Caenorhabditis elegans: one gene and its partners. The protein of the gene in region 3 purifies or fractionates together with the protein of the main gene of each other region. This does not show direct contact. Each region holds a gene or a part of one and is shown on either strand. Other genes may lie near its edges.

Region 1 (5,580 bases), on a different chromosome or scaffold from region 3:
AACTAGTTTTTCGCTATTTTTTGGAATTTTGACGCATTTTCGGAAAATTTTGGGTAAATGGCTCAGTGGGATTTTTCAGAACTTCCAATCACAAGGCCGCGGTTCGAGTCCGCACTGTGGTCGAAACTTTTTTTTCATTGTTTTGAAATGGTTAGTAAAGTAATTGCGAGATGCTGAGTTTAAATTCTAAAATTTTTTGAGCTTACAAGCAATTAAAAATCGTTTTTCATCACTTTTGAAAATCTTTATTCGAATGGCTCAGTGGGATTTTCCAAAACTTCCTATCACAAGACCGGGGTTCGAGTTTGCATCAAAACTTTTTATTTTCCCATAGTTTTCCACGTCTTTTGCAATGTGTAAAACCACTAAAAAAGTGATTAAAAATTCGAGGTGGGTGCCGACATCTCTCCTGATTTTCTCTCGATTTTCTCACCGAGCCGGAGCCAACTGTTGCCCAGTTTTTGATCTCTCAATCTGTCACACTATCTGCCGTGTGATACCTTTACTACAGAGATAGAGAAATAGGAAAAGTTGTGGGAAGAGGCTCGGAGCACAAGAAGAACCCGAGAATGTTTGCTCTTTTTGTGCTGATCATTTTTACCTCTTACCGCCGGCATACACACACACGCAGAGAGACGGCAAAAAGGTTTGCGGTAATCTGAGAATTTCAAAATGTTCTTCCCCATTCTTTTCTTCCACTGTTTTTTTTTCTAAATTTTAAGAGGTCAAGATCGAACTTTAAAGTCATTTTTGAACTTTGAAACTTGAAATTTTGAATTTAGACCCATCAATTACCCTATGCCCTATGAACGTAGCTTAAAAACCAAGAAAAAACTTTGACCACAGTGCGGACTTGAACCCCGGTCTTTTGATTGGTGGTTGTGGAAAATCCTACTGAGCCATTCGGGCAAAATTTTGAAAAATGCTGAATTTGTGTAATTTTGGGCCTTTGATTCTATTGGAAAAAACATTTCAAAAAAAGGAAATTTCAGCCTTTCAATCTCAATAACTTTTAGCTTTGAGTCGAAATTCAATATACTCATGCTAAATCAGGGGTGCGAATTCGGCAAACCGGCAATTTTCCGGTTTGCCGATTTGTCGGAAGTTTTCAATTCCGGCAAATTGCCAATTTGTCGTTTGCCGGATATCAGATTTGCGGGGAATGTTTAGAGGATTTTTTTTTCAAAAGACGAAAACACTTAAACCTGTGCCCTTTTTAATTTTTTCCCGATTATAATTAAAAATCTGAAATTCCCAAAAAAAATGTGCAAAACCACAATTTGCAGAAAATTTCCGGCATTCCCCGTTTTTCTGGCAAATTCGACAAATCGGCAATTCCAGCAGTTTGCCGATTTGCCGGAATCGTTTGCCGCCCACCCTTGCCCTAAATTACCCCTGCCCGCAGTATTTCAAGATTACTATGGAAAATGTGGTCAAATCTATTTTCTTGGGTTACTGTAGCTTGGTGTTTGCGTACCCAACACCGATTTTGACAGAATTTTGCACTAACGTTTGAAAATTGGGCCATCCGACTAATTTGACGATACAATTCAAATTTTTGAAATTTGAAGTATTTTCATCAAGTTTTGAGCTCTTTGAGCTTGTCAGATTTTCCAAATTACTTATTTTTATTGAAAAATATTGATTTTTTCCGATTTTATTTTTCTTTCAAGTGCGTTCCAAGTAAAATCCGGTACATTTTTAGTTGAACCTCATGGGAATTGCTTCTTGCAAACAACTTTGAATGACATTTTTGACTTGCACTCTTTTTTTGGTGAAATTTTTGGATGGGGAAGAAGAAAACGAAAAAAGAGCGAAGAACAAACTCATTTTTGGTGAAATATCTTATTAGGTTAAACTGGAGGAACTTTTCTTCGTTTTTTTGTGAAATTTTTTTTGAAATTTGGGGTTTTTCCGCTGTTTCAATTTTTCCCAGAGTTTTGAAATTTGAGTTTCAATTTTTTTTTGCATGCTCAAAATCTTTTTGGTAAAAATTTCATTTTAAAAAAATTGCAAAAAAACCTACAATTTCGAATTTTAACAAGATTCAGACTTAAGCTATTATCTATGTCTGAAATCCCAATTTCTAACAATTTTTGAGCTTTAAACCTTTAAAATTCAGATTCAGCACTTTTTATTACCTAACAAGCAACGAAAAAAAAATCGACCACCGTGTGGACTCGAACCCCGGTCTTCTGCTTTGTAGTTCTGGAAAATCCCACTGAGCCATTTGAGCGAAATTTCGAAAATGCCGGAAATTGTCACAGACATTATTCTTGGAATTTTTCGTGATTTTGTATGCTTTAACTTTTTTTGTAACTAATATTGAACGCTTTAATTTTAGTCTTTTTTTTTGTTGATAAAAATTGAAAAAAAATCGAAATTTTCACAATTTTTTTTGTATTTCTTTAAACTTACTATTAAATCCCAATTATTCTACTTTTTAAAATTTTCTTCACAAATTCGCCCACAAAACCTTTTTATAGTCCAGCACAAGCAATGTACCCAGAATATGGGCTGGACGTGGACGAATTCAACCTTGTGCTCATTATTTTCTCGGCCACAGTCGTATTTTTCGCCTTAATCGCCTTAATTTTGATGTACTGCACAATGAGTTGTGGTTGCTGCAGACGAAAGGAAAAACGAAGAAAATTGAGCAATATTCCACAGGTTATGGTTACTCAGCATAGAGACAAGTGAGTTTTTATTGCTAAAATTAGACCGAAAATTGAAAATTTATTTTGTGCAAAATCTCGTCAAATCTGATGTATGGCACTCAAATATCAAGCTACAGTAATCCAGAATACTAGATTTCACGAAATTAAAAAAAAGACCAAAACCTTAAAATTGGGGAATAGGGGTAATTTAGAGTGAGGATTTTGAATTTCGCCTCAATTTTAAAAATGATTAAGAGTGAAAAGCTGAAATTTCAATTTTCAGAAATATTTTACCCATAGAATTAAATATATTAATACCTAATATGACCGCAAATCGGCAAACCGGAAAATTGCCGGTTTGCCGAATTTGCACCCCTGATTTAGAATGAGTATATTGAATTTCAACTCAAAGTTAAAAGTTATTGAGATTGAAAGACTGAAAATTCCTTTTTTGGAAATATTTTTCCCATAGCATTAAAGACCCAAAATTACACAAATTCAGAATTTTTCAAAATTTCGCCCAAATGTCTCAGTAGGATTTTCCATTACCACCAATCAGAAGACCGGGGTTCGAGTCCGCACTGTGGTCATACTTTTTTTTTGGTGTTTAAGCTATGTTTATAGGGCAATCTATGGGCGCTGAATTCAAAATTTTCAGTTTTAAAAATATATTCAAAACTTTTGAGAGTTGAAAAGTATGACAACTTCAAAATATTTGGATTCTGATTTGAAATTTTGATTCCACGTGACAAACTGCACCTATTCCCAAAATTTCTGAATTTTAGTGCAAACCCACTTGAAATTTGGTGTCTGGTAGGGAAATACCAAACTACAGTAACCCGGACACAAAACTACAGTAGAGTATTTTTGAATTGAAATTTATAATTTTTTACTTCTGAAAACTATAAAAAATTCGAATACTCAAAATTTTAGTAGAAATTCGAACTCCGCGTGGCAAAATACATATAACTCTTAAGTTCCAAAAACTTTGTTCAAAACTCTAGGAAATCAAGTACAGTAGTAACCCGGGACACCTGATTTTACGACATTTTGCACTGAAAATTTTGAAAATTATAGTTAGGGGGGATTGTAGAAACTATGTAGCAACCTAGGATCCAAAATCACATTGATTTTTTTGTCAAAATTTATTATTTCAAACAAACTTTTTTTGAAATTTTATGGACAATATCGTTTGATGCCGAGTGTGGTCTAGGGATAATTTTAACGTAAATTCCGATTTCCAGCTCTAAATTTCAAATTTCAAACTTCCAGAATCCATTTTTTGTTTCCAGAACACCCCTATCAATTGACTGCCCAGATTTGGATTACATCGACGCTCGCAACACAAATCTTGTTTCATCAACAGTTCAAGTGGAGTCAGTTCATCAAACCCCAACTCTTTCATAATTTTTGATTTTTTTACTTTTTCCAATGCTTTTATGTGTTCAAAAAATATCATATTTGCTACATGTTTCTAGAAAAAAAATTTTGGATATAAATTTGCTTATTTTGCTAAAATCTCAGAGAATTCCAAAAAATTCAGCCATTTCCAATCAATTTCAAAAAAGTTCAGAAAGCATTTCAGAGCCATTTGAGAAAATTTCAAAAACGCAATTTCCAATTCATTTCAAAAAATTTCAGGGAATATTTGAAAATTATTCGATGATATTACAAAAATCTCAAAAGCATTGCGGTATGTTTTATAGAATCAAAAAACCTTTCAGGAAATTGTCAATGATTAGAGAAATGTTAATACTAATTTAGAGAAACTTGATGAAAGTTTAAGCAGGCCCAGGAATTTTCAATAATAATAGTCAAGTCAAGAAAAGGTGTAAAATTTCAGAAAATTTGAAAATATTTGTAGAATTCTTAACAAAATTTTTTCTAATTTTTGGGAAGAGTTCTGAATTTTTTAAAGGAATTTTTAATGGTGGAGTAGCGTCTGTGGGTTTTTTTGCCCTAAATGACAGAATACAGTCCCAATATACCGAATTTAAAAACATTTTAATTTTCTAAACTTTTTATGATTTTTTCAAAAAAAATCCCGCGCAAATCTGTGACGTCATTTTTGAAATTTTTGCGTTTAAAGGCCAAACTAATTGGTTTTTCTATATTTTTTTTCAAAAAATGAATCAAGATAGAATGAATGACAGAAATTGTTTAGGTGCTCGGATGGGTCACTCTCGCAGAAGAGGTAGGCGGAAAGGAGACAGTTATATGGTGTGCGTCTTTCCACACGTTCACCTCCTTGGCGTCACTCTCTTTGTAAACGCCGTCTTCTTATCGAGGACCATAATTTTTACAGCATCGCTATATTCACCTCTTCCTCTTGTGCAAGTCGTGTTGTGCTTGCCAGTTGGCATCCCCAGTTCATCTCCAGATGTTATCGCGTATGGTCAAAGAAATGGTATGTATTAAATATGTACCAAGTTTGCTTATGTAGCAACTATCTACCATCATTATGGCTTGAATTTCGTCATCTCCAATCTTTATGGCATTGTACATAGACTAAAACATTTTTCCAAATATTTCATAGTGTGTTCATCTGGTAAATTTCCTAGCCGGATGGGTGAGCCTTTGGGTTGAGGTGGAATTGAACTTGCGATTTTTTGGATGACAGTGCTACTACCACTCAGCCACCCGTGCCCGTGTAATAATTCTTACTTTTTTTCAGGCTCAAATTTTTAAAAATTTTTAAGTTTCAAAACTTTATTTTTCCAGAAGATTTTCGAGTGTATTCCAAAAGTTTCTATAATTTTTCAAAAATTCCTTGAAGTTTCTTAAAGTTTCTAGAAGATTTTTGAATATAGAAATTTTCCAAATGTTTTAAAATTATACCTTGAATTTTTCCCAAGTTTATCGAATTTTTCTGAACTTTATATAAATTTTACAAAACGTTCTAGAAACTGTGTGTGGCAGATAT
Region 2 (7,820 bases), on a different chromosome or scaffold from region 3:
CTCTGAAAAATTAACGTTATTTAATTACCTAAAGTATTGTATTAAAGTACTTTTGAGCGTCTGAGCAAACACATTCGCTGACTTTAAAGTTTCTTTCAGTAAATGTTGATGGACATGTGCAAAACTGGAAGTAATAGAATTGATTTTCGACTCCACGAATTTCATTTCTTCTGATTCCTGTGTATTCCTTTACTGACACGGTGATCTGAAAAGATGAACGTAGTGAAAGTAAAGATATATCATTAAGTTCTATTATCCCTTACGCTTTTTGCATCAGTGGTCGGTATTTGGAAAAAGAGAAGTGAAAAAAGAGCGAGTGATAAGGACAGTGACATATGGGCCTGAATGATAGACATGCGCCAAGTTTGAATAGGACACTAGCAGTGATTTTTCGGAATCGATGGGTCTCCCGGGGGTGGGCGGGCAAAGTAGGATATCAATGACCTTGTCAGGAGGAGGCAGCAGTAGTAGTAGAAGATTACAGAATGGTATAGTGGTAGACCACAGTGATTTGTGAAATCAGTATGCTGTATAGTTAAGATACAGTCACTTTATATCTGATAGTTGGTAGCAGACATACAGACTCTTATGACGCATGAAATAATGGGTGGGCCCCTAGAAGGACATTGTACTTTGAAAATTTAATTTCAATTTTATTCGACAATGCAAAGTATCAGGTTTTTGGTTTTTGGAATACCACTTTGCTGACCCTAACAAAAATGAGTGTAGGTGGACACATTATTCAAATCATGAGATCACCGGAAAACATCTTGAAAGTGCAGACACGTGTAAAATGAACAATAGTTTTGAAACTTTTTCTTAGTAATTTGGAATTGAAATTTTCTGAAAAAAAAATTTCGCAAATAATCTAAAAGTGTTGTCAAGCAGATAAATTGTTACGTGAACATTCTTAGTCATGATGATTTGAAACATTAATAGCATAATGCTTTAGTTCTCTCTATGTTTCTCTATCCTTCCCACACATACACAGCTTTTGAACTTTCATTCAATTATCCCATTGTAATAATTTATTAAAATCCCTTTGCACAAACAAAAATGATTATCATTCTGTGAAAAATGTGAAAATATGAATAGCAGGAAAATGACAGAAAAGAAGTAAAAAGAACCACTCAGGAAACATCAGACGGGAAGAAAAGTTAAAAATGAACAAGAAAAAATGTACTCGGACCTCTATTTGTAGGAAGAAAACTGTGATGGAAAATGAAACACCGGAAACTCGAAAAAAGAAAAAAAAACATTGAATCACTCACAAAAAAGCGGAAATTTAAATATTTTGAAATTTGAAAAAGTAACCGTGTTCTGACTCATTATTCCTTTTGCGTTTCATTTTCTTCCTAAAGAGTCTTAATAAATTAATCACCATTGTGGGAAGGAACTGTACAAAAGAGTGGCTGGCTCGTAGTTCAAGAAGGGATTTTGAATTAGTGGGATTGTAGTTGGAAGCATTGTAGGCATCATCAAGGATGACAAATCAATTGGGAGAGGATTTAATGCTTGATTAGGCTGCAAATTAAATACTGTGATTTTCAAAGCATTTGATAACTGATTATTTATTACCACTGCCTGAGTTCTTCCCCAGGAACATCTGACTTGATTTCCAGCCATCTCCTTTCCATTCATCTCCATTATTGCTTTTGTGGCACACTCTTTTTTCTCATATCTGACGAACGCGTACCTTTGGGTTTTGAAAATACGCACTTCCGCTATATCACCATATGTTGAGAATAAATCGCGGAGATCAGCGTCTATAAAAATATGTACATAGATATAACATATGGCAGTGATAGGATAAAAGGCAGAAAGTCATTTATCAAATTTCATGGGACGTTCTCACTGTCTACCAGGCGGAAGTGTCAAGCAGTAGGATGTGATGAGGAAAAATGATGATAGCCTCATATCCGTTAGAAAGTTTGTTAATGAGATAAAGACATGGAACTGGTTTACTCTGTTAATAAACTATGGGAAAGTTACCGAATAAGGCCATTCGAGAAATTGAAATGATCTTTTAATGGTTTTATGTTTTGTCAACAACTACAGTGTCTTAATTTGATTGTAAACATTAAAAAATGCCTGCAAAAATACCATTTTAACCAGTACAAGTAAAATGTATCAGATAGAGCATTAACTTTTTAAAACTATTGCTATTAATTTGTTCAAAGATGTATCATAGATGTGCATTGCGAAATTAGCAAAATTAAAATTACAACGCCTGTCAACTTACTTCTTAAAAATCAGTTTGTATTATCCAAATGCTCAATAACACTAGTTTACTTTAAAAAATTAAATTTCACGGAAAACCTATATCAAAAATATTAGTATGATTTGGAAAAATTCTAAAAAAAATAAACGTTTCAATTAAGTTTCCAATATTATTTGTCAAATAAAATTTATAACAATTATAAACTTCGATGTTTCACTGCGGAGTAGAGCCAATGGGGAAATTGCTTTGAAACATGCATATGGAACCACAATGACGAAATATTTCAGTAAAAGTATTTTTTTTAATTTGTAAAATTACTTTTTTCGTTTGATTGCGTAGTTTTCTATAAAAGTGCGTAGTTTTCTATAAAAGTGACTTAAAGCGATCGCGAACTGCCAATAAAAAATTTTCAAAACAATTTTTGGAAAGTTTTACTATTTTTTTGGCCATAATATTTGGCCATTTAGTCCCCATGGAACTGGTTTTTAGCAATTTACCCACTAGCGCTACTACAACTTTCACCATTGGTTACCGGAGCAGTATACGGTCTCTCTATTAATGCAAATTTCCCAATTCTTTAAATTTCAGAAGAAACTATAGATGTAATTCTAAAGATTGTTTTCTTTATTTCAAAAACTTAAACTCTATTTATTTCCTTTTTAATGACTGATATGAAGTACACTGTCTACCTATAACTAACCTGTAGTCTGTTGACTTATGTTCCCAACATAAACTGACGTGTTATCGGCTTTCGTTGAGTTGAACACCTGGAGCTGTCATGTTTTATTGAGATTTAACGTTACAACATCTCACCTGTTCAAAAGTCAGCTTGTCGCGATTCTCCTCGCTGTTTTTTCGTGCCGCCCAGTTGGTCCGCACAGCTCGTTTCCCAATCCATTTTCCGTTCATTCCGGCTATCGCGTTCTCTGCATTCTAAAAACAAGGCTCAGTTTTCTCGACGAAAATAAATAGGACCAATGGGCTTCGTAAAAAAAACAGAGAGAAACTAACTTGTTTGTTGGGAAATGACACAAATCCGTATCCTTTTGATTTCTGAGTCTGAACATCTCGAATCACTTTAGCTTCACTGAAAAAAATACTTCCGCGGTATAAATGTCAAGATTGGGTAAAAAATCTAACAATGGTTGGAGAATATTGCTTTCAGTTTTGCTCAATATTTTGTCATAAAATTTATTAAATTTCGGTTTGGGAATGATGATATTTTTTTGCCAAGTACGGTTTCGATATACTCTTTTAAAAATTTTTATGGAAAATTGCTAGTTACTCAAAAAAATAAGTTATGTAAGTTTTTTTAAATCCAAATGACGAGGGTGTTGTTTGTTTTTTGATTCGAACTCTTTTGTATAGTGTTAACGTGTTCAAGCAAAATTAAGTATTTTATCCTCAAATTTACCTGACTTCTCCGAATTTTGTAAACGTTGATTTTAAAAGCTCATTGCTCACGTCCTTGCTCAAATCCCCGACAAAAACATGAAAATGCTCTGAAAAGAAGCAAAGAAATGATATTGCATTGCTAATCTTCTTCTTTTTTAGTGCTGGCACGCATGGTTTCATTTCATCTCATCTTGGTCGTCAGTTTCATATTTTCCAATTCTTGACCACGGAACATAAAAAACGATAAAAAACGTGTGACTTTCAAGAAAAACGGTTAGCAGCTATGAGGCTAAACAACCTCGAATTGTCTGATAAGGGTGATAAGAACAACCAAAGAATACAATAACACCCAGAACGGTTTTGAAAAAAAAAAGTGAATCCGTCTGTGTGATTGATAAGGTCAATCAAATGACTTATCTTTATCTTCTTTTTTTGGTCTCATATTTTTTCACAGCTATTTTGACTTATGACCTGACACCAATACGGCGCCAGAAAAGTAATTGAAAAATAAAGATTGATAGGATCTTTGATTCAAACAAATTCATTTTTCACACTTTTCATCCAAATCTGCAAATCTACACTCACTGCTTGTATCAATTCGCATCTCCATCGGCGGCTCCGAGGCTGAGTGCAACACGGCTGATTCCTGCAACACAATTGCATTTGCCAAATGAGAATCCGTACTAGTTGAATGTATTTCGATCGGACAAAAAGATTGGCGCGAGAGGAAAGGGTAACTAAAGGGGGAAAGAAGGGTGCGAAATAAGCGGAAATGGGCAAATGAACAAACCAAAGAGTGTGGAAGACCGATGTGTGACAAAGAAGGAAGGCTGGCGGTCTGGAGAAGCAGAGGACATGTGTCCAAGGATTGAATCGACTGTGTCTGAACACAGGTATATGAATTATTGAGTTGCACAATATCCGATCAACCTACGTCTAATAAACCTGCCGGGAACTGCGAGTATAGGTTTTTCATAGGCATTTGTTGAGAGTAAAGCAAGGATGTCTGAGGAGTCGCAGTTGGTAAGCACATGAGTGCTTTCTGCAAGGACTGTTTTAAACATTTCTGTGTTTTGACAAAGTTCAATTTTTCAGAAAGAATCAATATGAAAGACTAATCTAGAAAGAATAATCTCAAAATTGCACGTGATTGCTTCTAAAAAATCGTTCGAAACATATCAGTTAACCTGTGAATTCAGACAATATGTAATAAAACTTAGTTTTGGGAAGCTTGTTTTAACTAAAAGTGTTGTTTTTTCTCTGCTTAACATTTGGAAAAGCAACAACTTAAATATTTCTGACAACTTGAGAAAATCAATTGTTGAACATACTTAACAACGTTCACGTCACTATTTCTACAGAAACCAGATGCATTATCCATTTGTATTTATTTAGAATTGTAAACCACCTTTCTTTTTTATGATTGATCAGATTGTGTTCCTTTTCTTTGCCAGGAAAATTACTGACGGGAATGTGGCAATTAAAAAATCTATTGCAAATTTGCATTACCTATTATGAGCAAAAAAAGGGAATAACAATTACATGGCTTATTACAAGCACATGCTAATGTTCTTGTACTGCCCTCGGTTTTAGTACCAACGAATTGCTTTCAATTTCTAAAAAGTCACCTACCTTCGCCTGCTGAGCCGAACCATATTCGGCTTCGTGTACGGAGATGAGGTCCTGTGATCGTTTCAGCTTGAATTGTGTACTAACACCACTGTGGTGTTCCAGGACTTGTTTAAATGTGAGAAGAATGCAAATGTTCCTGGAAAAACGCTGTGAATCGGATTAGCATTCCCATTGAAAAATAAGAGCAAAAACAGAGCCAAGAGATTTGTTTTCAAATCCCTCGCGAAACTAACAAGGTAACTAAACTGTGATAATGGATTATCGATAAATGGAAAAATGTGGCAAGGAATATAACCGGAAAATGAGTCAAAAAATAAAAAAGTAGAAGGAGGAAGAAGGTGCAATATTCATTTTTCATGGCCGAGCATCTTCTTGTAGCAGAGTGATGTGCTCCGCCTTGTCCCAAGGGGAATTGGGTGGAGAACTAATTAAGAAAGTCGAAAACAATAGAATATATTGAGGTGTAGACTATGTCGGAAACAAGAAAAATGCGAATAAGAGGATGGAAAGGAAGGGAAGGAAAAAATGTGCAACAAACTTGGGAGCTAAGACCGGACTCCACATTTAACCCATCCAGTGTTGTTTCTCACGATGGGCTCAAGAGCGGAACGTCGTTTCATTCTTGTGATTTTACCATCCATTCCCACCAGATTTGAGATTTACCGAGTGCCCACCCCTTGTGACCTCCTTTTATTCTTCTCATCTAGCTTGAGCACCTTTCCTTTCCTTTGACTTTTTTATACGTTGTCATTCTTCATGTAAGAGAGCTCAGGATTCTTCCATTTTCATTTTCCTATTCATCTAGTAGTAGTCCATTAGTCTCACTCGAAAAATGAGCAACGAATGCACTAGAGGGTTCGTGTGGCTGAATAGCGGTAATACGCAAAATGGAATAAACAAATGATATTTGAGAGAGGCATGGGCCCCATAAAAAAAGGCGGAAAATGTCTTCAACTGTGAGAATAGGGTCTCGCACCAAATCGAGACACCTAAATTCATAGATTCATGCATCTGAAAGAGCTTTTAGCAGAAGGCAAAAAAAATAGACAACGGTGGACACGAACAAAGAATGTTTTAATGCTTGTGAATAGGGAGGAATAGACAGTGTGCACGGAGTCAGCCGAGAGGAAATAAAAATGTTCCTTTTTTGAACAATAACAATCAGATTCGTATTGGAAAGGAAGACGAACAACAAATCGATACAACCACCAGTTTATTAGGTGAAGAACATTACAAATAGGAGAAAAAGAGTTTCACAGTGACAGACGTGAAGACCGTAATTTTTCGAATCGCTTAAGCTTAATAGTAGTTAAAAGCAGGTAGCTAAAAATGTTAGTCCATTGACTTTTTCAAAGATAAAAACTTTAGCGCAAATGAAGCACGTTTCTTGTTAATGTGTTTTCAGGATTAAAATGTTAAACAAGAATATCAACTTCAAAATCGATTTGTAATCAATAAAGTTTACAATTATAATATTTTATTCTTATATCAAAACTTCAGGAAATGATACTTCAAGATTGAAAATCCGCCTTGATGGCGTATTCCAAAAAGGGAATAGATTTTTGGGAAACGAGCGGCATTTTTGTCACGAAGATCAATGATTAAAAACAATAAGATGACTCAATCTGTAAACGACCAACATTTTCTGATTTGTATAAATTACATACAAACAAAAAAATTAATTATTAAAATTACTTGAATCAAATGTATCCTTAAATGGTTGAACATTCTGAAGCAGTATGTATTTGTGTACTATATCCTTAAATTTTGAAAAAAAAGTATGTTTCCATTTATACGTTAATTAAGCATTATTTGGAAACAAATCTTTTCAAAAAATTAAACTTCTAATTTAAAGAAGTCTTATCAATTTGAAAAAAAGGGTAAAACCAAATAGCAGAATGAGCAAGAGCAAACTGACCAGTTTACACCTTCAAATGTTTATTTTATTCAATCGCAAATATCAATCTGTATACCATGCAATGTGTTGATATAAACTATGGAAAAGTGTAAAAAAGGGAGAAGGCATGGCTCTTGATTAGTCAGTTTTCATAAATTGTTTTCTAAATTTATTGAAAAAGAGCATGTCCATTTTCTATATACTGTTCCCTAAGACTTTAAGTTTGATCGTTCGATCGTGGACTTGATCTAGTTTTTTATTGGTATTGGAATGAATTTATGATTAAACAAATGTGCATTAGGGAAACATAACTAAAAAGTAAAAGTCAAAAGACTCAATGGCCATTGGTAATTGAATATGAATTTTTCGGGGGTCAACAAATTAGAAGTCAAAGAGCTCTTCAGAATATTTTCTTCTACGAGCAAACCGGAAAAAACCCAGAAAAGGAAACGATGAAGAAAACAAAATGCAATGGGGGCAGAGTCAAAAAGGATGAGGTAATGAGAAAATGAATGAGAAAATGAAGATTTGGTTAGAAAAGGGTCAGAGGTAGAAAAACAAGGAATGAACGACAAAAGCTGGACCTCAGCTACAAAATGAAAACATTTTTAGACCGGCAGAAAAAAGGAAAGTGAGGGAGACACCGGTGCTCTATGACGAATAACACATACATAC
Region 3 (9,212 bases):
GTTGAAAATTCGAAGAACATTACCAAAAACGATGGCTGGATTACTGTAGGTATGAAAGACGCACGCCTTTTTGAAAATGAATTTTGTTCGTCGCGAGAGTAGGTACAGTCTTTTTGACTAAAAATTTTAAAGTTGACGCAATTAGGTAATCTATTTAAATTTTATTGAAAATAAATTGGGCATTATAATTTGAACATAACTAGTTTGGCAATTCCAAAAAAAAATTTCAGCCGAACCAAGCCAAATGGGCAAAAATAGATTTCGCGGATGCATATATCAATATCGCCAACTTCAACAAAAACACTACGGATCGAATTCGTCCAAAAATATCGATTTTTCACTTTAATTCTCAATCTCTTCGAGTAATTTGAGTTTTCAACATTTTTATCATGTTTCGTGTTCTTGCTCAACATTTTAATTTTCCTCAAATCATATTGATCAGATATGTACATATTAAAAATATTATTGTTTCTTGATTAAAATCTAAATTTAATGGTGCATTGACACGATATACAAATGTGCCTTTAAACTAATTTTTTATTAAATTCAATAATATTTATATAATGTCAAATCATCCAAAAATCATCAATTCTTTCACACAGTGTCTTCCAAGCTTTGCAATATATTCAAATTTGTCTGTAACTTTCTGAAATTTGCCTATTTTCCAATTGTTCATCAAGCCTTTTCATCCTCAGGATCATCTGATTTTTCTTTTTTTACCTTTACTTCCCGAACCCTCATCCAAAATTGTCATTTCCTGCCATTTTCAGTTTTCAATCGATTCTAGAAAAGTGTCCATCGGGAACATGACGTAACAAGGTCCATTCATTTTTTTTTCTGAAACAACTTACTCCATTTCTAAATAATCTTCGAAAGTGGTGATTTTAATAATTCATTCCGTGGTTTCAATTTGTAAAATCCCGATTATAATTAATTCCAAATGCATTTTCTTAGTTGTCGCATACTTTAAAAACTGTTCAATTATTTCATTTGTATTTCATTTTTAAAAATGTGTAAAATTTTATGTTAGTGTGAGTCATCATTTCACGAAGCGATTCTCGAATTTTTTGTATCCCAAATGTTGTGTTTTTCTCCTCTATCAGCATAAAGTTTTGTAAATATTTTTTTAGTTCCACCGTTCATTTCGCACCTAAGAAACAATTAAAATAATTGGGAAAATGAAAGAAAATTTAGAGGGAAGAGAGAGGGAGAGAGAGATAGGGTTACAAAAAAAACAAGAAATCAACGATATTATTCTTGAAGGTGGAAGACGGGGTGGTCAAAAAGATATATGTATATATAAACAAAAATATGTATAAATTAAAAAAGTGAATACCTAAACGAAAGAGAGAAATGACCAGCATTTTGAAATATAGAAAACAGAAAAAATTGAATAAAACTAATCAGGTGGTCTTGGCTTGTGAATTATGAAGAGAAAGAGAACGTTTTTCGAGACTTCAGTGATAATTTGTTATAGTTTAAACGAAGTTGTACCACGTGTACGTACCTAACGAGAAAATGTCGCTTTAAGGATGATGATGGCAATCGGGATGTGATGGATCAGAGAAATTCAATAATACACGTGTCGATGAAAATTAAAATGTGTGAGCGTTAAACATAAACAATGAAAAAAAAATTGGGTGAAAGAAAGAACAAAAAAAGAAGAAAACTATTACGAAATCACAAGAATTGATATAAAAAGGAGCAGCAATTCAGCATCTCTCAGAAATTCGAATTCTGGTTCCCGCCCCCACTGTTTCCGTTGACTCCACCAGTATTATTTGAGTTTTGTACAGTTCCCTGGGCATGATAGTATGCTATCGGAATTTGCGGTTCATATGTTCCGTTTGCACGAAATTGTCCACCTGAGAAATTATTGTGTCATGTTGAATCAATTATTCTAATTTTTAAAAGTTTAATACATACCATTATGGAATATAGTATTCTGAATTATGTGCTGTTGTTGATGATGATTGAAGTGATTTGATCCTAACATTGCTTGCGGATTTTCAATGTATACTGCATGGGGGAGGTTTGCATGAATTGGAGCGTATGAATTGGAAGAGGAAGTTCCACCATTTTGCTGAGAACCTTCCCCGTCTGAACGAGTTCTATGATCACCTTAATAATTGATTATTCTCATTATTGCCATCTAATTCAACTTGTACATGCCTTTCTTCGATAACAATGTTTGTTTTTCACAGTGTTTCGGAGCGTGAGGACCGCCACAATTAGAGCAACTTGGGAACAGCGTCTAGAAATTGAAAATTTCTCAGATTTTACGAAAATTCGAAATCAAACCTGCACTTGTGTTTGCGGGATATTTGAATAAAGGAATGGTTGCATATTGACAGGCAATTCAATCGGGTCAATGCTTCCTGTTGCATTTCGTTTGAAGTAACGAACTGGAGATTTGGCACGTGGATTCTTCCATCGAGAATATATTAATCCATCCGATGCTTCGCGAGTTTCCTGCAATAGCTTTATTTCGGAATAGATTCGTTCTTTTCAATCAATCTAGAAATGAACAGTATCAGAAACTAACATCTTCTGTTTTCGCTCTGGTACCGTTGAACTCTTCACATATTACAGCTGACAGCATCATTCTAGCTGGCAAGTCAGAAAGTTCATTGATGTATTGAACATATTGAGCTGGAGTCGCATCACGAGCAAGACGTGGAACAATACGCTCTCCGTTTGGAGCAAACGCTGCAAAAATAAAAATTGTAAATTAGAGACTATAAATTGAAAATACATACTCTCCATTGTAGATGTGCTCGCTGAAAGCTTTTTGTTATCATCGTCAAATGAAGAGTAGGATGTAGTGCATCCTTGATGAAGATATTTTTCACTTCTCTGTTGTCCGAACTCATCAAGAAGACGATGCTGTAGAGCTTTCAATTGATCACGAGATCTTTGAGCAAATGTTCTGTCACCATCACTCCAATGAATCTGAAAACCTTTATGATTTCAGAAACTTCAGGTTGCGTGTTACCTCCAGGCTGAAAAGATTATCGTTCTTCTCAATTTGTCGTCCAATAAATCGAATGATAAAGAATGTTCCCGGAACTGATGGCGACGGCTGAACTGGATTACTCTCGAAACGCGAACCTGAAAAAAAGATGCGGAATGTTATCAGTGATTTAGTTGGAATGTTCCGAACTCAATTCATCGACTAATTATCGAAAAATTTCTAGAAATGCATGTGAAAAATTCTGTTAAATATTAATTAATTGCTTACCCATAACACCTGATAGTGGCTCAAATTCTTCCTCTGATTCATGGTCGGAATCAGTATCATTCTCATCGCCAACAGCTTGTGATGATGGTACAACAAGATTGCTTTGCTCCAACTGTTTCTGAGTTGTGTAGTATTGTCTAAACAATGTTTCTATTTGAGCACGTAATCCGTCCCGCAGAGCCGCATATTTCATTTTGTCATCAAGAGTAATTGCTGGGTGATGAGTCATGGCTGCGACTGAAACAAAAAAGTATACTCCAAAACACGGAAATGAAGACTTACCAATTTTACCGATTTCTTGTAAAACGGTAATTTTATCAAGTTCATCCGGAATACGTTCGAGTATTTGGCTCTTTTCTCTCAGAATAACATTTTGAACATAGTCAGAGATCTTTAAATAAATCGATTAAATACCATCTAAAGTCGTATTCTGATTCACCTTAGCAGCTGATTTTCTATTTGTTGATGAACAAACTGCCATGAGAGTGTATATGTAACTGGTAAGATCGAGAACAGATTTGAGAAACAATTCTGGTTCTTGAGGGACCGGTGGTACCGACTGTGGTACAGTCACTGAAGTTGGATGTGCAGGGTTTGCTGCTGTGGTGGAGATGTGATTAGAACCGGGCTCCGGTTCTGGTGATGTTGTATTAGATTGGTTGATATTGCCGCTCGAACCTGAAAAATGTTGCGAATTTGAGAGGGAAATTGTGTTGTAAAATACATTTTTTAACTGTGTCAAATAATGATGAAGATTTTTTACCTCTTGCAGTATTTGGTTTGGAATCTAGCTGTTGTCTATCTGATGGAATATTATTGCTTATTCCGTTCACACTACTTGATAGCACAACTGGTACATTGTTAACATCCTTATTTGCAACGGAAACTGATGATGAAGGTGTCGTACAAGAGGTTGAATGATGAAAGTTAGCATCAGGTGGATACATAATATTCTGCCTGAAATAAAAAATTTTTAAATTATAATTCACCGACAATAATGCATACATTCCGCCTAATAACGGTGGAAGACCAGGTGGATGTTGCTGTACAAAAACCGAGTTAACTGCATTTCTTGTTTGATACAGGGCAGCATCCGCAATACCAGGAAAATAATAAACTTGTTGCGGTGGAGGTGGAGGAGAGCAAACGAATTGAGGTAAACCAGCTGTTGGATCCGAACAGTTTGAAGTCTTTTCTACTGGCCGCATTTGATTGTTATAGCAACGAACAGATCCTTCGATACAATTTCCAAGCAGGCGAAGATCGGTTGGAGACAGGAAAGAAACAAGTTCACACATAAACTCCACCTTATCCCATTCATCGTGCTGCAATCCAAACTACGTTTTGAAAACTAATAACTTTTTAAAAATTTTGTTTGAATAAAAATGATAAATACTAAAATGTCTTGTATTTATGAATCACCTCTTTGAATGCCATCACAGAATCCATATTTTTCGGATCAGTGCTCTTATATGGCATCGGCTCTTCATCACGCTTGATTTTTGGTTTTTCCTTCTTCTTTTTTGCTTCTTCGACTGGTGGATCTGTTTGAACTATTTTGGATTCTTGAAAGATGGGAATAGCAGTCGGAGTTGTGCTCACTGGAGGAGCAGAAGACGCTGATATTTGTCCCGCAGAGGATAGGGAAGAATTTGACAGAAATCCAGAAGATTTAGCATTTTCCAACGAGTGATAATTATTGTGGTTATGTGTGTAGCCACCTCGATAACTTTGGTTCGAATGATCACGATTCTTAACATTAAAATTAATTTTTATCGTAATTATACGTTTATACAAACCTTATTCTTTCGGTTCTGCTGATTTCCGCTAACATGGTTTGAATGATGATGATTATGGTTAACCTGACTTTGCCTATTACCACTGTGAGTGTTTCTGAACGAGCAAAAGCTAAGGATTTGTTTTAACTAGTTACTGATTTAATTACTTCTCCTTTTCCTTCGGCCGATCTTTATTTGTGGTTCCTTTGAAAGCACCCGATTGTGAATTAGCAGTGTTGCTTGTCTGCAAGTGAATCATAAACAGGTTGAGAAAACATGTGTTTTAAAATATGAAATAATTATGCACGATAGACTCAGTCGAATTTATCTTCGCCTACTTACCTTCTCAAGCTCGTTGTGCCCAGCCTTTTTGGCAGGAAATTTAGAAATTCCAGTTTGCTGTGACGTTGAAGAAGTCGATGAAAGTCTTTGATGTGAATATTGATTTTGAGATTGACTCTGCTGTGAAGAAGGTACTGTAGTGGTCGTAGTGGTAGTTGAGGTGATGGACGATGTAGACGTCGAAGCGTCTGAAATGAATATAAATAAATTCTATGAATCTTGAGAGTTGAATTTTCTTTAAATTTACATTGTTGCTTACCGCATTTTAGAGACCCTTTATGTTTCATTTTAACGTTTTCTTGAGAATTTTGTTGAAGTATTCCAAAATCAGAAGAGAATACATAGAAATAATAGGACATTGAATATATATATATATATATATATATATAAATCAAATTCTAAAATTAAATCAATAAATATGAAATGATTAATATAGACGTTCCAATCTAATTGTTAAAATTTAGATGCTAGAAAAGTCATTGCTTATCACTCATCACATCAATAGGGAAATCAAATGTAATAGTTTGGGTTATAATAAATAAATCGACTTTCGCACCTTGATGCTTATTGAAAAGAGAAGAGGAAGAGATGGAAAAGGGGCATCGTGCCTGTGTTGGTGGCCTCTTTCTCTTTTTTATTTTTATTATATATGTTTGCCCTCCTCGGTTCTGTACTCGTCTATTCACTTTCTTTCTTTTCTTCGGGGTCATTTTTTAAGCACAGATTGTGAAGACCAAGGTCTCCAAAATCTCGATTTAAATGAACCATTGGAAATTAAGACACAAAATTTTGAATTAATTTGCAATTGCTGCAAGAAAATTCTAAAACCTATTTAGGAACAGCCGTCCTTGTTATTTCAAAACAGATTTGTGAGAAACGTGTATACGTACTATTGCTGGAAGTGTTATCGTTGGTGACGCTATGACTGGAATTGGAATTTTGTCCAATTTGTGATGAATTCTGAGTTGTTGCAGCGGCAGTTGCTGTTGCGTTATTCCCGTTCATCGTTGACCCGTCTGTACTTTTCTTTTGCTGATGGTTCTGAAACTAGGGAAAAATATGTCGAATTTCACTATCTTTATCAACACACCTTTTTATTGGCCATACTTTTCATCAAAATACCAGTTAACCGAGACTTCTTACGCTTTTCTTGAAGAGTTAAAGCTGTGACGTCTGAACGGATAAATTTTAAAAAAATAAGGAAGGAATGAAATAAATAAGATATCAAACATCGCATACTTACGATGAATTACAAAAAGTTAATAGTAATAAGAATCATGTACAGATTTTATATTTACACGTGAAAATTGTGGGCTGCCCGAGTAAACAACAGGTGAATGAATACATATAAATTAAAAAAATAAACAGCAATTTCAAAAAAAAATTCAGTGGTTCTCGACAACCTTCCATTTGCAAAATTCGAACTTTAATCCATTTTCTTCGAAAATTTCTGAATTTTCCGATGACACCTCGGCATTTTGAACTTTCTCCATTTTACTGAAATCGAGTGACTTGAGATGAACATCGGCTTCGAAGCTGAAATTACGACAGAGTAAAAAAACTGTGCAAGCACCCTACTTTTTGAAAATACGTGTCAAGTGAATTTCATCAACCAAGTTTTCTCGCAACGCAAGATCATAGATTTCAGCTCCACCGATATTCCAGATTGTTTCGATCGAATCCACAAATGGTGGCTCCGAAAGTAGTTTCATAGCCGCTTCGAGCGAGTTTCTGAATGTAACAACAACAGGTTAAATATTATTTCATGACAGCTTACACAACAATGTAGTCATCGGACTTTTGCGCAGGAAGTTGTCGGCTCAAAACAATGTTTAGCCGTCCTGCCAACGGGCGGCGAGTTACTGGAATGCTTTCCCAGCATTTTCGTCCCATGAGAACTGCATTTCTCTACAAAAGTTATGTTACAAGTTTAGTTAGAAATCTCGAACAACCTTCGACTGATCAGAAACATTTTTGGTAACAGACGCGAAATACTGCATGTCTTTCTTGATTCGCCATGGCAACACGCCATTTTTGCCAATTCCTCCTTCGGCATCCATAGCCACTATTAAGTTCATTTTTCTCATTTTTAATGCCTAGAAATAGAAAATAACTCGATTGAGATACCAGAGAAAATTTTAAAAACGGGTAATGAGAACTTTGCACAGCAAAACGAAGCACATTTGAAATACGCTTCCATTCGACTTCGTATCGACTGAAATCTTCAAACAATACAGATTTCGAAGATAAAGATAATGAATCGTGGGAAAATCAATAAAAATAGATAATCAAAAAAAAATGAGGGTGAAAATGAATCGAGAAGAAGTGAGAGAACCTCAGATTTCTTCAAATTATCATTAGAGCGCGATTACTGGTTCCCACTTTCGAAGAATTTTCACCGCTTTTTTTGAACTTTTATGCCATTTTCTTTCCTTTGTTCACTTTAAAATGTTTTAAACTTCACAACTAAATATAATAAATTATAATAAAACTACAAGCCCATTCCTATGTCTCACATCTTCGTTCTGAATGTCCTAATATATAACTTCATATTCTTTACAGTGGTTTTTAAAGTAATTAAATTTTTTAAGAGCACACAAAATGGCTGAAAATGGCAATTTTGCTGTTCCAGCACCGCCAAGACAGTTTGGATCACTGGCGAATGCAGAAAGCGTGAATGCAATCTTGGTATGTTTTTTTTCATGAATTCTTTGACTATGTTATTTTTTCTGAATTTTAATTTAAAATTTCAGAATGCACAACAGCAAAACCATGGACCCACAGTGTCTTTGGAACGAATGGAAGTATCAAATCAAGCAGATTCACGCCACGATGCTGAAATGTTTGCAGAATTTGATAGAAGACGGAGAGCAAGAACTCTCACATTGCCAACAGATGATGTTCAGGTACAGTTTTGATACATATGAATAAAATTTTTTTAATAACTACCCACTTGAAGATATATTTTAAAGGTAAAACTGAAACTTCGTGCTCTAAACCAACCAATTTGTTTGTTCGGAGAAGATGCATTGGATAGAAGAGAAAGACTTAGAGCTCTACTTTCAACAATGTCTGAAGATGAAATTGCAGCCGTTTTGCATACTGATGAAGTAAGTTTTTCAATGTTTGAAAAATTATTTAAAAATTTGAAGGTGAATGCTGATAAAGCAGACGAAGAAACCGTTACTTGGTATCATCGTGGTCCGATTGAACTTCGGATGGCACGCGTTTCAATCGCTGATTTTTCTCTAAGAAAAGCTAAATTAAGACTTGACAAAGCTCGAGAAGAAGCTGCTCGCCCTGCTCACGAAAAAGCTTTGGCTCGTCAAGAAGCTCACAAATGGGTTCAACAAATCAATCTTCATGCTTCTCAAGTTGCAGACACACGCCCTGTGGCTTTTTGTGAATTTTCAGCAGATTCTGAACATATTGGTTTGTTTTTTCTAAGTAGAACTTTCCAACTAATCAAAAACTTCAGTTACCGCTGGCTGGTCCGGATCAGTGGCAGTTTGGAAGCGAGAACAATGTGCTCAAGAAATTAAATTTATTGGACATTCATCTCAAGCAGGGTGTGCACGTTTTCATCCCGGTGCATTTACTCAGAATGATTATTCTTCTTTGAATGTGGTTTCGTGTTCGTATGATGGTAAATATAACTGATTTTTGCTCAATTTTCTCAAAATTCGTGATTTCAGGAACCGTTCTTCTATGGTCGCTAAGCCAGGAATCACCAATCGGAGAACTAGAACAACATCCACAAAGAGTATCTAAAGTTGCGTTCCATCCAAATGGTCATCATCTCGCTACTGCATGGTAAGTTTTTTAATGGTAATAACACGACGATTTTAGAG

The links.
Region 1: the proteins of gls-1 (region 3) and F48F5.6 fractionate together in Caenorhabditis elegans (co-fractionation; one large-scale study listed by BioGRID). This does not show direct contact.
Region 2: the proteins of gls-1 (region 3) and rnp-9 fractionate together in Caenorhabditis elegans (co-fractionation; one large-scale study listed by BioGRID). This does not show direct contact.

The regions. Positions count from the first base shown.
Region 1 is NC_003283.11:20,446,866-20,452,445, reverse strand, and holds F48F5.6 (uncharacterized protein), read left to right. Parts: upstream 1-2,486; 5' UTR 2,487-2,499; coding exon 2,500-2,696; intron 2,697-3,949; coding exon 3,950-4,064; 3' UTR 4,065-4,171; downstream 4,172-5,580.
Region 2 is NC_003284.9:10,164,882-10,172,701, reverse strand, and holds rnp-9 (RRM domain-containing protein), read right to left. Parts: upstream 5,398-7,820; 5' UTR 5,249-5,397; intron 4,659-5,248; 5' UTR 4,650-4,658; coding exon 4,551-4,649; intron 4,500-4,550; coding exon 4,407-4,499; intron 4,263-4,406; coding exon 4,202-4,262; intron 3,724-4,201; coding exon 3,636-3,723; intron 3,309-3,635; coding exon 3,233-3,308; intron 3,155-3,232; coding exon 3,035-3,154; intron 2,989-3,034; coding exon 2,922-2,988; intron 1,767-2,921; coding exon 1,579-1,766; intron 1,525-1,578; coding exon 1,378-1,524; 3' UTR 1,009-1,377; downstream 1-1,008. Other genes in the region: C07A4.2 (SCP domain-containing protein), read right to left, coding at 1-2, 51-205, 264-356.
Region 3 is NC_003279.8:8,734,458-8,743,669, reverse strand, and holds gls-1 (Germline survival defective-1), read right to left. Parts: upstream 6,599-9,212; coding exon 6,452-6,598; intron 6,403-6,451; coding exon 6,252-6,402; intron 5,550-6,251; coding exon 5,362-5,549; intron 5,264-5,361; coding exon 5,187-5,263; intron 5,135-5,186; coding exon 5,041-5,134; intron 4,994-5,040; coding exon 4,664-4,993; intron 4,567-4,663; coding exon 4,247-4,566; intron 4,199-4,246; coding exon 4,005-4,198; intron 3,920-4,004; coding exon 3,681-3,919; intron 3,633-3,680; coding exon 3,524-3,632; intron 3,479-3,523; coding exon 3,242-3,478; intron 3,112-3,241; coding exon 2,996-3,111; intron 2,953-2,995; coding exon 2,760-2,952; intron 2,710-2,759; coding exon 2,546-2,709; intron 2,482-2,545; coding exon 2,302-2,481; intron 2,255-2,301; coding exon 2,173-2,254; intron 2,122-2,172; coding exon 1,927-2,121; intron 1,866-1,926; coding exon 1,723-1,865; 3' UTR 1,122-1,722; downstream 1-1,121. Other genes in the region: dhfr-1 (Putative dihydrofolate reductase), read right to left, coding at 6,747-6,897, 6,940-7,092, 7,139-7,269, 7,314-7,448; prp-4 (Pre-mRNA processing factor 4 (PRP4)-like domain-containing protein), read left to right, coding at 7,963-8,049, 8,115-8,267, 8,334-8,471, 8,514-8,793, 8,840-9,007, 9,057-9,174. UniProt on the Caenorhabditis elegans protein: Required maternally for germline survival by forming a maternal complex with gld-3. During hermaphrodite development forms a complex with gld-3 which promotes the sperm/oocyte switch freeing the translational repressor fbf to turn off sperm promoting factors.